3 linked regions of the Callithrix jacchus genome follow. The protein of the gene in region 3 interacts with the protein of the main gene of each other region in a pairwise test. Links are inferred from orthologs where the notes say so. Each region holds a gene or a part of one and is shown on either strand. Other genes may lie near its edges.

What was found.
Region 1: the proteins of KAT5 (region 3) and APBB1 interact in binary tests that used the Homo sapiens proteins (3 or more experiments, as listed by UniProt). The link is inferred for Callithrix jacchus from reciprocal best matches to the Homo sapiens genes KAT5 and APBB1.
Region 2: the proteins of KAT5 (region 3) and STX11 interact in binary tests that used the Homo sapiens proteins (3 or more experiments, as listed by UniProt). The two-hybrid records come from large-scale screens. The link is inferred for Callithrix jacchus from reciprocal best matches to the Homo sapiens genes KAT5 and STX11.

The regions. Positions count from the first base shown.
Region 1 is NC_133511.1:72,105,015-72,108,760, forward strand, and holds the start of APBB1 (amyloid beta precursor protein binding family B member 1), read right to left. Parts: upstream 2,260-3,746; 5' UTR 2,151-2,259; intron 1-2,150. UniProt on the Homo sapiens protein: Transcription coregulator that can have both coactivator and corepressor functions. Adapter protein that forms a transcriptionally active complex with the gamma-secretase-derived amyloid precursor protein (APP) intracellular domain.
Region 2 is NC_133505.1:150,902,887-150,906,546, reverse strand, and holds the start of STX11 (syntaxin-11), read right to left. Parts: upstream 2,930-3,660; 5' UTR 2,724-2,929; intron 1-2,723. UniProt on the Homo sapiens protein: SNARE that acts to regulate protein transport between late endosomes and the trans-Golgi network.
Region 3 is NC_133511.1:122,803,421-122,807,166, reverse strand, and holds the start of KAT5 (histone acetyltransferase KAT5), read right to left. Parts: upstream 2,275-3,746; 5' UTR 2,256-2,274; coding exon 2,078-2,255; intron 1,751-2,077; coding exon 1,682-1,750; intron 1,593-1,681; coding exon 1,456-1,592; intron 1,192-1,455; coding exon 1,009-1,191; intron 920-1,008; coding exon 845-919; intron 736-844; coding exon 661-735; intron 1-660. UniProt on the Homo sapiens protein: Catalytic subunit of the NuA4 histone acetyltransferase complex, a multiprotein complex involved in transcriptional activation of select genes principally by acetylation of nucleosomal histones H2A and H4.

The sequences.
Region 1 (3,746 bases), about 51 Mb from region 3:
TGCAGCCTCAGTGGCCTTCTTTCTGATTCCTCAAAGACATTATGTGGTTTCTTTCTACAACGTGTTTGCACATGATTTCCATGCTGCCTGGGACCTCTTCTCCTACTCTCTAAGTTGAATTAACTTCTACTCATCCATTTTATTTTAGTTCAAAAGTCGTGTTCTCAGAGAAGCCATCCTTGACCCTCTCTCCCTATCCCCAAAACCAGTTTAGCTGCTGCTCTTGATGTTCTCAAGGCACCATACAGCTTTTCTTCATGGTATCTAGTACATTTGTAATGTTATTCTTATTTGATTTTCCTCCTAGATTGTCAGCTCCGAGGACCCAACTCTTTTGCTCACAATTATATCTTCAGGACCTAACACAGTGCCTGGCATATAGTCGCTGCTCAAATCATATGTGTTGAATGAATAAGTGATTGGAAGCACTTTTCTTTTTTTGAAACAGAGTTTTGCTCTTGTTACCCAGGCTGGAGTGAGATGGTGCGATCTTGGCTCACCGCAACCTCCGCCTCCTGGGTTTAGGCAATTCTCCTGCCTCAGCCTCCTGAGTAGCTGGGATTACAGGCATGCACCACCATGCCCAGCTAATTTTTTGTATGTTTAGTAGAGATGGGGTTTCACTATGTTGACCAGGATGGTCTTGATCTCTTGACCTTGTGATCCACCTGCCTCGGCCTCCCAAAGTGCTGGGATTAGAGGCTTGAGCCACCGCGCCCGGCCGGAAGCATTTTTTAAAGCAACACTCTGGGTGCTGTGTTGAGAATAGTTAAAGGAAGGTAGGCAAGAGGGTATGCTATTAAAGGAGTCAAGGAAAAAAAAAGGTGGTGGCTGGGATTAACTTGGGTGGCAGTGGGAAAAGAGTGAAATGAATGGATTTGAGAAATATTTAGGGAGTGGATGTGACAGAACTTAGTGAAATGAGATGCAGAAGGTGAGAGGGGGTTAATCTTGAGTCTTGCTCATGACTCCAGATTGGCAAATAGCCATTTCTGAGATTTGAAGGAAGAAGGGATTTGGAAGTAGGGTACAGAGAAAACCAGGGACAATAACTCAACTTGGAATCTATAGGTTTGGAATTCCTGTTTGTCTTTCAGGGAGATGTCAAGAGGGCAGCTGGATATATAAGTATGGATTTCAGGAAAGACGTCTGAGCTGGATACATATATTTGGGACTCATTAGCATATATATGAAATTTGAAGCTTTGGGAGTGAATAAAGTATCTGGGGAGAAAGAACAGAGAATGAAAGAAGACAGCTCGGGACAGAGCCAAGAGCCTCGCCAGCATCTAAAGAGAGAAGGAAGCAAATGAGATTGAGAAAGCAGGCAATGCTGCAGGACAGAAAGCAGGAAAATGCTTCAAGGAGAGAGAACAGACCCCACGGAATACTATTCAGAGGTAAAGAAGATAACAGCGAAGTGTCCACTGGAGTTCTCCACCAGGAGATCTCCAGTGACCTTGCCATGGACAGTTTCAGTGGGTGTCAGGGACACAGAGTGGAGTGATTTTAAGAATGAATGGGAAGTAAGGAAATGAAGACAGCAAGCGTAGACTCTGAAGGGTGGCGAGAGCTAGGACCATAGCGGGAGGGGCTCAGAATGCAAGAGATACACAGGCAGACTCAAAACAGGTTAGGAATTGGCAGTGGGAAAACTGCTCCTAATGAGTGTTCCTGCCAGTGCTAGGCCCTGGCTGAGCTGGGGACACAGCCGCCCCAGGGCACACCCCTCGGTCGCTGAGGGCAACAGAATGCCGCTTGACAGATCTGGCCTGGGATCCCTGCTGGAATCGGCGGCAGCAGCGTCCGGCCAGCCCACCCCACCCCAAGTCCCCTTCCCGGCCCTGGGCCTCCCCTCCCCCAACCCCCACCGCCCCTCGCTTCGCGTCCTCCATACCCGCCCCTAGTCACCCCGAGGGGCAGGAGGTAAAGGACAGCGTAGGGGGCGATGTGAGGACCCGAGGGGACCATGCGATGGAGGGTATGAGAGGACGGTCTACAGGCGCGCGGTGGGAGGGCGGCCCGGGGATGGGGGATGGGGCCCGGCCCGGAGACCCCGGCTACTGCGGTGAAGAGGCGTCAGGGTCCACCGGCCGCTGGGGATCGGGGCGCAGCCACCCCGGCTGGGCCGGGGCAGGGACAGCTCCTACCTGCGCGGCGAGGCCCCGGGCCCAGATGACGGAGGTGGCTCAGGCTGCGGGGTTCGGGCTTCGCCGCGGCTTCTCCATCACAACATCCCCCGCCCAGGAGCGCGCGGGCGGCGGGGCCGCGCCCCGAGCGGCGGAGGCGCGCGCAGAGGGAGGGGGAGGGGCGCCATCTTGGGGCGGGCGCGGGAGCGAGCTCGGCAGGCGCGGTACTTGCCGCAGCTTCCTGGGGGCCTCGCTCTGCAGGAGACCCTCTGCCCTCCGTGAGCCCCGCGGTCCAGCCCTCCCAGCAGAGATCCCTGCAGCCGCTTCCCTGGGACCCCTGCCTAGCGCGGCGCCGTCCTCCACTACGATGCCACAGACTCACCCTGCGCGCCCCGTAGGGCCCTGGCCCCGCACCCCCGCGGGCAGACGCGCGGACTAAGCTGGAGCCCCGGTGGCGGTGGCGGTGCGGGGACCGCGGCCGCGTCCGGAGGGATTCCGGGGAGGCAGCCTGCTCCGCTCCTGCTGCACTGCTCCCCGACGTCCTGATGGGGAGGCTCTGAGGACACAGCGTTGCTGATAATAATAGCTCCTATTTATTGACCACTTACACCGGGTCGGGCTGTGTTAAACTGCTGATGCGCATTAATCTTCACATCGGCCCTGTAAAATCACCAGTTTTATCCTCATTTTTCAGAGGCTAATGCTAAGATTAAGACAGGTAAAGCGACTTGCCCGCAGTCACAGCGACAAATTCAGACTGGAGCTTCAGTGATTCTTGACACTGAACTACCCCTGCTGCTGAGCATAAAACTGACATCAAGGCCTGGAAAATGTCAAGAATACATTTCTCCCCTGTGGAAATTCACAGGGAAGGGGAGAGTGTGAATGAAGAGTGTAAAGATGTAAAGAAAGATGGTGGGGTGCAACATTTACTACAGACCCTCCTTGGATAATAGAATACATCCTAGTGGTCAGATCAGTAAACCAGAGGCCATCAAGGATAATGAGGGGTTACATTACCATCCAGAAAGCCTCTAAATACTACCCCCTCTAAGGTGCCTAAAACTAAAGATGTCCAAATCTTCGCTCGTTCTTTATTTTTCTTTCTTTCAAGGCAGGGTCTCGCTCTATCACCCAGGCTGAAGTACAGTGGCAGGATCACGGCTTTATGAAGTCCCAACCTCCAGGGCTTAGGTGATCCTCCCACCTCAGCCCCTGGAGTACCTGGACCATAGGCACGCTCTACTGCACCTGGCTTTTTGCATTTTTAGTAGAGATAGGGTCTCACTGTGTTCTCCAGACTGGTCCAGAACTCGTGTGCTCAAGCAATCCTCCCACCTCAGCCTTGCAAAGTGCTGAGATTACAGGCATCAGCCACTCCATCTAGCTTGAATTCATTATTACATCCCCCTTCATTAGTCATCTAAGGAGTTTCTCTGGGGTGAAAAAGAAACTTCTTCAACACACACACACACACACACACCCCACAACAACAACACACATCCCACACTGGACTCCATCCATTCCAATGAATGACACCAACTACTGACTTCCCAATCCAGAACTTTCAAGGTCATTTTTGAATAGACTTTTATTTTGAGGTAAATATAAATGTTT
Region 2 (3,660 bases), on a different chromosome or scaffold from region 3:
CACCTGCCTGAAAATTCATCCTCCTATATGAAAGTTCATATTTCATCAACAAATGATGAAATAAATAAATCATCAATAAAATTTATGGATGAAATCAATATATTCATCACTTTCTTACACCTATCATTAGTCAAACCTGGGCCAAATTCAGGGAGTACAATGCTGAATAATATACTCCACTCTTTCTTCCTCATAGAAAAAGTAACCTTAGGGGTCTCAAAGGAGGAAGAAAGTTTGGAAATTAAGGCCAATTTGTCTCCAATTTAGCATTGTTACCTTTACTAGTTGGGTATCTTAGCAAACTGGGGAAACTTGGAAACCTTGATACTTGGGCATCAAGTCTAAAAGCCTCTCAGCAGATTTCAATTGCAACAGTAAACTGTGATACAGTATGTTTATGCATTTGGGCTCATATGGCTATAACGTGCTAAAAACATTGATTTGAACTGCAAAAACAATGATCAGAAACTTGCCTCAATATAGTGTTATCAATTTATAAACTATTAGGCAGGGCATGGTGGCTCACACCTGCAATCTCAGCGCTTTGGGAGGTCAAGGTGAGCAGCTCACCTGCAGTCAGGAGTTTGAGACCAGCTGGGCCAACAGGACAAAACCTTGACTCTACTAAAAATACAAAAACTAGCCGGTTGTTGTGGTGGGAGCTGGTAGTCCCAGCTACTTGGGAGGCTGAAGGACGAGAATTGCTTGAATGCGGGAGGTGGAGATTCCAGCAAGCCAAGATTGCGCCACTACACTCCAGCCTGGGCAACAGAGTGAGACTCTCTCAAAACAAAACAAAACAAAACAACCTATTAATTAGTCATACTATTTTCTAAAAGTCATGCTGTTAACTAAAGGTGACTGCAATTGTCCAGGGGTGATAATCAGCTGAGTTTAGTTTCACATGGTTATTAAATAGTATGAAATATGGTTCATTCAAATGCTTTAAAAACCATACCTTTCTAATTCATATTTTTTAAATCATGTATCAAATGAAGAATAGGCTGCCTACAAAGACAAGTAAATGAGTCAACTCAAAAGCTTCCTCGCTTTTCCAGCCATGACCCAGTCCATTCCAAATCCCAGATCTGCAGAAACATCAGTCATATTGGGACAGAAACTTCACTCTGGGCATAGATGTACCCTAGCACATATATAATGGATTTTCCAGTGTATTTAAATAAACTATTATTTAGTCACACTATTTCCTAAAAGTCACACTATGAACTAAAGGTGACTGTAATTATCTAGGGGTAGTAACTGGCTGTTTAATTTTTAAATACACTGGGACCCAGCTTACTGAGTTATATTGGGACAGAAACATCCATCTGGGTGTAGATTTACCCTAGCAGCTTGTCAGCAGGATCCTTTTATTCCTAGTTGCACAAGCAAGGTTCAGAGAAGAGGCTGGCACAGAGAAGGTGCCTGGTAACTGTTGTTTGGGGCTGAACTCAGCTCAACTCAGCTCCAGTAGAGATGGTGCTCCCTTTTCTATCATGTTGAGAGCCTGTGCAGACCTTGCCTAAGCGCTGCTACCCACTACAATGGGACCTGTGAGTTTCAACTTTTAAATTTCTCTGCTCCTGCTGGGACCTACCCACTTCAAAAATCGTCGTGTGGTTTTAGCATCAATTTAGTAAATACAAATTGTTAGAAATATTTTGATTTTAGAGAGTTACAGTCACCACATTAAATGATACATTTCTACCATGCAGTGAAAATGAGGACAAAATGGTCACTAGATACTGAAATTAATTTTCCCTTGGGCTTCTGTGGCAAAGCACATGATTTTAATGGTTATCTTAGATCAGCCCAGTGACCTTTACTGGCATGTTGTAACATCAGGCGCCTTAGGAAACTGAAAACTCAAATCATCACTACCCATACCACTGCCCCAGGTTAGCAGGGCAGGCATTTCACATCTAGAGCCTCATTTTAAATACAGACAGAGCAAGCCTCGCTTTTCAAAAAGTTCATTAACAAAGTCTCACAATTAAGAGAGCAGCCGTGTGACTCATTTTTGGATACCCGTAAATAACAACTCCTCCCTTTGCTGAGAAACGGCTGAAACAAGTGCGTGAGAACCACAGGAAGTAATACAGAGCTCAGCTGGTGTCAGAGGAGTCTAGAAAAAGGCAGAATTCCCTCTTGGACAGAGTGGTTCTCGCAGGATTGCCACTACCCTTCCTCTCCATTTTTCTAAAACAAAGTCTTATGTGGGCTTTGAAGGGACTGCTCCAAGGCTCTATCAATTTCTCCGTCTCTCCCGGCTTCTGGGTGACAGTGCCAAGTTCAAGTCAAGAGGTACCCATTCTGGTGTTTTTGACACAGTCACCCTAATAGGAAATGAAGAGGTGATAACAAAGAAACACTTCAGCCTTTCAACTTAAAGGTAGTCTTAGGTGGACGCTTTATAAAGGCAGCCTACCAACGGGTATCCCTAAAATAATTCCTATGAAGCGCTAAATTCTCAGTCCCTTGGCCTCTGAAATTAAAAGTAATTCAAAAAATATCATTCCGCTTTATATGAGAAACCCAGTGCTGTGTTCTCGAAGGTGCCCAGAGGCGGCGTGAGGCCCTGCACCAAAACCCACTAAGGCACCGCCGCGGATCCGGAGCCCAGACAGTGTCCCCGCCCCGGCCCGCCCACCTCCCCGCACTCTCCGCGCACCGGGAATAGGTAGAGAAATGGGGAGCTCAGGGACAGAAAAACAAACCAGTACCCGGAGCGAGAGTTCGAACCGAGAAGCCCCTATCCCGGCCGGGCGCTCGTCCCCCGTGGGCGCCGCGTTGGGGAAGGAAACCTGTTGCGCGACTCCCGGCGGCTCGGCTCCCGGCGCCTCCCGCGTCCCCTGCGGCAGAGGCTGGGCTCCTTCACTGCGGCCCGAGCTCCGCCCCGCCGCGGCCGCATCTGGGCGCCGCCGGCTCTGCCCTAGCCGCTTAGGAAGCGACCACAGCTGGGGACAAGGCCCCGCCCCGGGATGACAGCGCCGGGGCGCGGCGGCTCGCGGAGCGCAGGTTCCCGCCCCGCCCGGAGTCCCTGCGCTCGGGACCGCCCGGAGCCGGGGACGCGCTCCAGCACCTCCCGTACGTCTCGGGGAGTTCCCGCGGGCGGAGCGGACCCTCGCGGGGAGTGGGAGGTTTGCAGCCAGAGGCACTTCCTCTGCTCATCCTCCGGTTCCTAGGGCAGGGAGCGCGGTGGACTTTCCCCGGGAATCCCCGCTGCGCTGATGACATTTGCCGTCCGGTGCGTTTCCGCGGCGAGGACGGTGGAAGCGGTCTCTGAGCGTGGGTGTGGCTGCCGAGGCTGCAGCAGGTCCTGCACCCCCTGGACCTTCCAGGAGGCGGGCAAGGAGCCTGCGGTCACACAGCGGCCGACCACCGCCTTCCCAGAACCCGGCGGCCAACCCCTCTCCAGTCGGCCTCAGGACCCTACGGGCTCATCATTCCCTGGATATTAGCTGAGCGTCCCCTTGTGTGCCCAGGGTACCACCGCTCTCAAAAATACTGCCAAGACCCCCCCTCCAGGTCCTGGCACTTTAATGGGGAGACATAAACAAAGTGTGGATTGTGCCAGGTGGCGGTAAGCACCTTGAAAAACAAAGGTGAGGCTGAAAAGTAAGTGAGATTCAAAAAGGGAAATCGGGCCAGGCGCGGTGA
Region 3 (3,746 bases):
CAGCCTCCGGAGTAGCTGGGATTACGGGTGCCTGCCACTATGTCTGGCTAATTTTTTTTTTTTTTTGAGACAAAGGCTCACTTTTTTCCCAGGCTGGAGTACCAGTGGTGTAATCTCAGCTCACTGCAACCTCCACCTCCGGGGTTCAAACGTTTCTCCTGCCTCGGCCTCCCAAGTAGCTGGGATTACAGGCGTGCGCCACCAGGCCCAGCTGATTTTTTACTTTTAGTAGAGATGGGGTTTCACCATGTTTCACTACCATGTTGGACAGGGTGGTCTCAATCTCTTGACCTCATGACCCACCCACCTTGGCCTCTCAAAGAGCTGGGATTACAGGTGTCAGCCACTGTGCCCAACCAATTTTTTTATTTTTAGTAGAGATGAGGTTTTGCCATGTTGGCCAGGCTGGTCTCAAACTCCTGACCTCAGGTGATCCACCCACCTTGGCCTCCCAAAGTGCTGGGATTACAGGTGTGCACCATGGTGCCCAGCCCCAATGATTCATTTGAACCATGTTCTGCCTGGCTCCTAATCCTACCAACACTAGCCCTGCCCAGGTCCACCACCCCTTCATTTTTATACTCATCACTAAATAACTCTCCACCCTGCCTGCATCCCTTCCTTTTCACGCAGCTCCCTTCTGCTGCTCCCCAGACCCACCTCATCAGTGCCCAGACAATTTGATTTTCGCTTCCGTCCTGGCTGGGCTGCCACTGCCCTACGTGCTGCTCCATTCTGCAGATGAGATACCAGGAAAAGAAGGGATGACTGTGAGATGAGCTTGAAAAGGGCCACCAGAGGGCAGAAGAGAGGAAAGGAACAAGAAATGGTTTGGGGAACTCACCTGGGGAAAAACCGAAGCTGGGGCTGTCTCACTGGGCACTGGAGTTGCTGGTGAAACCACCTCCACCTTCCGTTTCTGCAGAGAGAAACCAACAAAGGTGGGTCAGAGGGTAGAGAAGGTGGGACCTGAGAAGAAAGCAAGGTCCCTGGAATTGCTGAGGGTACCGTTGAGCGGTGGTTGGGCTGCAGGCAGGAGCTGGAGGAGAGCGGCTGGTCAGGCTCGCCACCGGGAATGGCCTCCCGCTCCTTGGGCAGGTTGAAGCGGAGTGTGATCTGGACCGGGATTGGCAAGGTCTTCCCGCTGGCCTGGGCCGAGGCCGGCTGTAGAGATAGGTCCAGGGTCTTCCTCTGGGGCGGGGATGGCAGTGGGATGGGGAAGGGGAAGAGGGGCCCCTCAGCTTAAAATTATCAAACCCCACCCTCTGCCTTCTGAAGGACACAGGACTAACTACTGGACTCTGGGAGCTACATGTGCAATTTGGCCCCCATCTTTTGCAAGCTGAAGTCAGGGTAAGAGGATGCCGCCTCCTGCCCATCCAGGAGCCCCTAAATGCCAACAGATAAGAGAAATAGGAGGCAGGAGAGATGAGGTGAAGTGGGGGACCTACTCACCACCTCTCTCTCTGGAGAGCCGGGACGGGACCCAGGAAGTCCGTTCTTGGTGGGGGTCTTGGCCTCTTTCTTGGGGAACTGGATCTTCTTTAGGTCCAGCCGCTCGTGCGTCACCCATTCATCCAGACGTTTGTTGACTGTAGCAGTGGGGATGGCTCAGGAAGGAATGCCAAAGACTGCCCCCCAACCCCCTACCCTGCTGCCCCACCTTAGGCCCAGAACTCACAATCAATGTAATGGACGTAGAAAAGCTTCCGGCCACTGATGTCCTTCACACTCAGGATCTCGGCCAGTGCTATGGGAACAGCATAGGCAGGGACCTTAGACGGGCCAGGCCATGAGACTCCACCCTTCCACGACCTGAACTCCACCCCCAGGCCGGATCCCTAAGCTGCAGCACTTGGAAGGTCTCATCCAAGCCTCCTTCAGTCACAAGTGCCACCCCTTTCCAGACCCCGCCCTGTACCTCTCATAGCAGCTAAGAGCCACGCCCCTTCATCGGAGTGTCTGAGCCCCGCCCGCCCCATAATTCCAGAGGCCCCTCCCCATCCCGGGGGTTCAGTGGACTCCCTCCCGCCCCTCGCCCTCAGGTTCCTTAGCCCCGCCCCCCGACGTCACTCACGCCACTCATCTTCGTTGTCCTGGTTCCGCCGCAGCACGGGTAGGCGGCAGCCCTCGATTATCTCCCCCTGGGGAGACAGCGCGGCGCCAGGGTCGGCTACTGGGGGGCCTCGGGCTCTACCCACCTCCCCTGGCTCCCTCCGCCCCGCCCCAGGCACCGGACTCACCACCTCCGCCATCTTCCCTCCCTCCACTGCCACTTCCGGCCCCTCTGGGAGACGTCACTTCCGGAACTGAGTGCTGTAGGCTTGGGCCTCACGAAGCCCCTATAGAGGACCTTTGAGAGACACCGCCACCCAGCTGCCAGCGGCAAGACTGCCCCTGTGGCTTGGGGGAGAATGTGGTGTTACAAGCCTCAGACCGAGCCCTAAGTGGAAACCCCACAACGTGCACAGCGATTGGAGAACTACTGAGCCCGTCACCTGACGCCCACCGCGTGCGACGCTGGTCACGTGGATGCGGAGCGGGTCACGTGGCAATATTGTTTGGGCTTTGACAGAGGGCGGTGCTGGGGCGTCTCCTCGTGGCGGCGGGAGGTATCGCCGGGAGTGAACTGCTAGTGCTGAGCTACGGGCCGAGAGGCTGGAGGAAGGGAGTGGCTTTAGAGGGGCTTCAACGCTCTTCCAAGTCTGTGGACTTCATTCCATAGGCAGGAGGATTCAGGGAATATTCCTAGCTTTATTTTGTATACTACGCTTTTTTTTTTTTTGAGACGGAGTCTCGCTCTGCAGCAGTGGCGCGATGTCGGCTCACTGCAACCTCTGCCCCCTGGGTTCAAGCGATTTTCCTGCCTCAGCCTCCCCTGTAGTTGGGACAAAAGGCGCGGACCACCATGCCCAACTAATTTTTGTATTTTTAGTAGAGACGGGGTTTCTCCATGTTGGCCAAGATGCTCTCAATCCTTTGACCTCGTGATCTGCCCGCCTTAGCCTCCCAAAATTCTGGGATTACTTGAGGTCAGGAGTTCAAGACCAGCCTGGCCAACATGGTAAAACCCCATCTCTACTAAAAATGTAAAAGTTAGCTGGATATGGTGGTGTCCTCCAGTTATCCCAGCTACTCAGGAGGCTGAGGCAAGAGAATGTCTTGAACCCAGGAGGCAGAGGTTGCAGTGAGCCAAGATCCTGCCATTGCACTCCAGTCTGGGTGACAGAGTGAGACCCTTTCTCAAAAAAAAGAAAAAGATGCTGCCCAGGCTGGTCTCAAACTTCTGAGCTCAAGCAGGCTACCCACCTCAGCCTCCCAAAGTTCTAGGGCCCCGGCCCCGGCCGTTGTTTTGTATATTAGGTTTATAATTATAAAGATAGTATGTGTGATACTCATCATACATTCAAAAAATATTTAGGGACCCAAAACATGTGTCAGACACTATTCTAGAGCCTGGAATACATCAGTGAACAAAATGAAGACTTCAGGTCTGGTGCAGTGGCTCACGCCTGTGATCCCAACACTTTGGGGCAGAGGCGGGAGGATTGCTTGACCCCAGGAATTACAGACAAGCCTCAGCCACAGAGCAAGACAAATGTTCAGTTAGCCAGGTGTAGCAGTGGCCCTTGCCTATGTTCCCAGCTACTCGGGAGGCAGAGGAGGGAGCACTGCTTGAGCCCAGGAATTTCAGGCTGCAGTGAGCCAAGATCATGCCACTGCATTCCAGCCTGGGTGACAGAGAC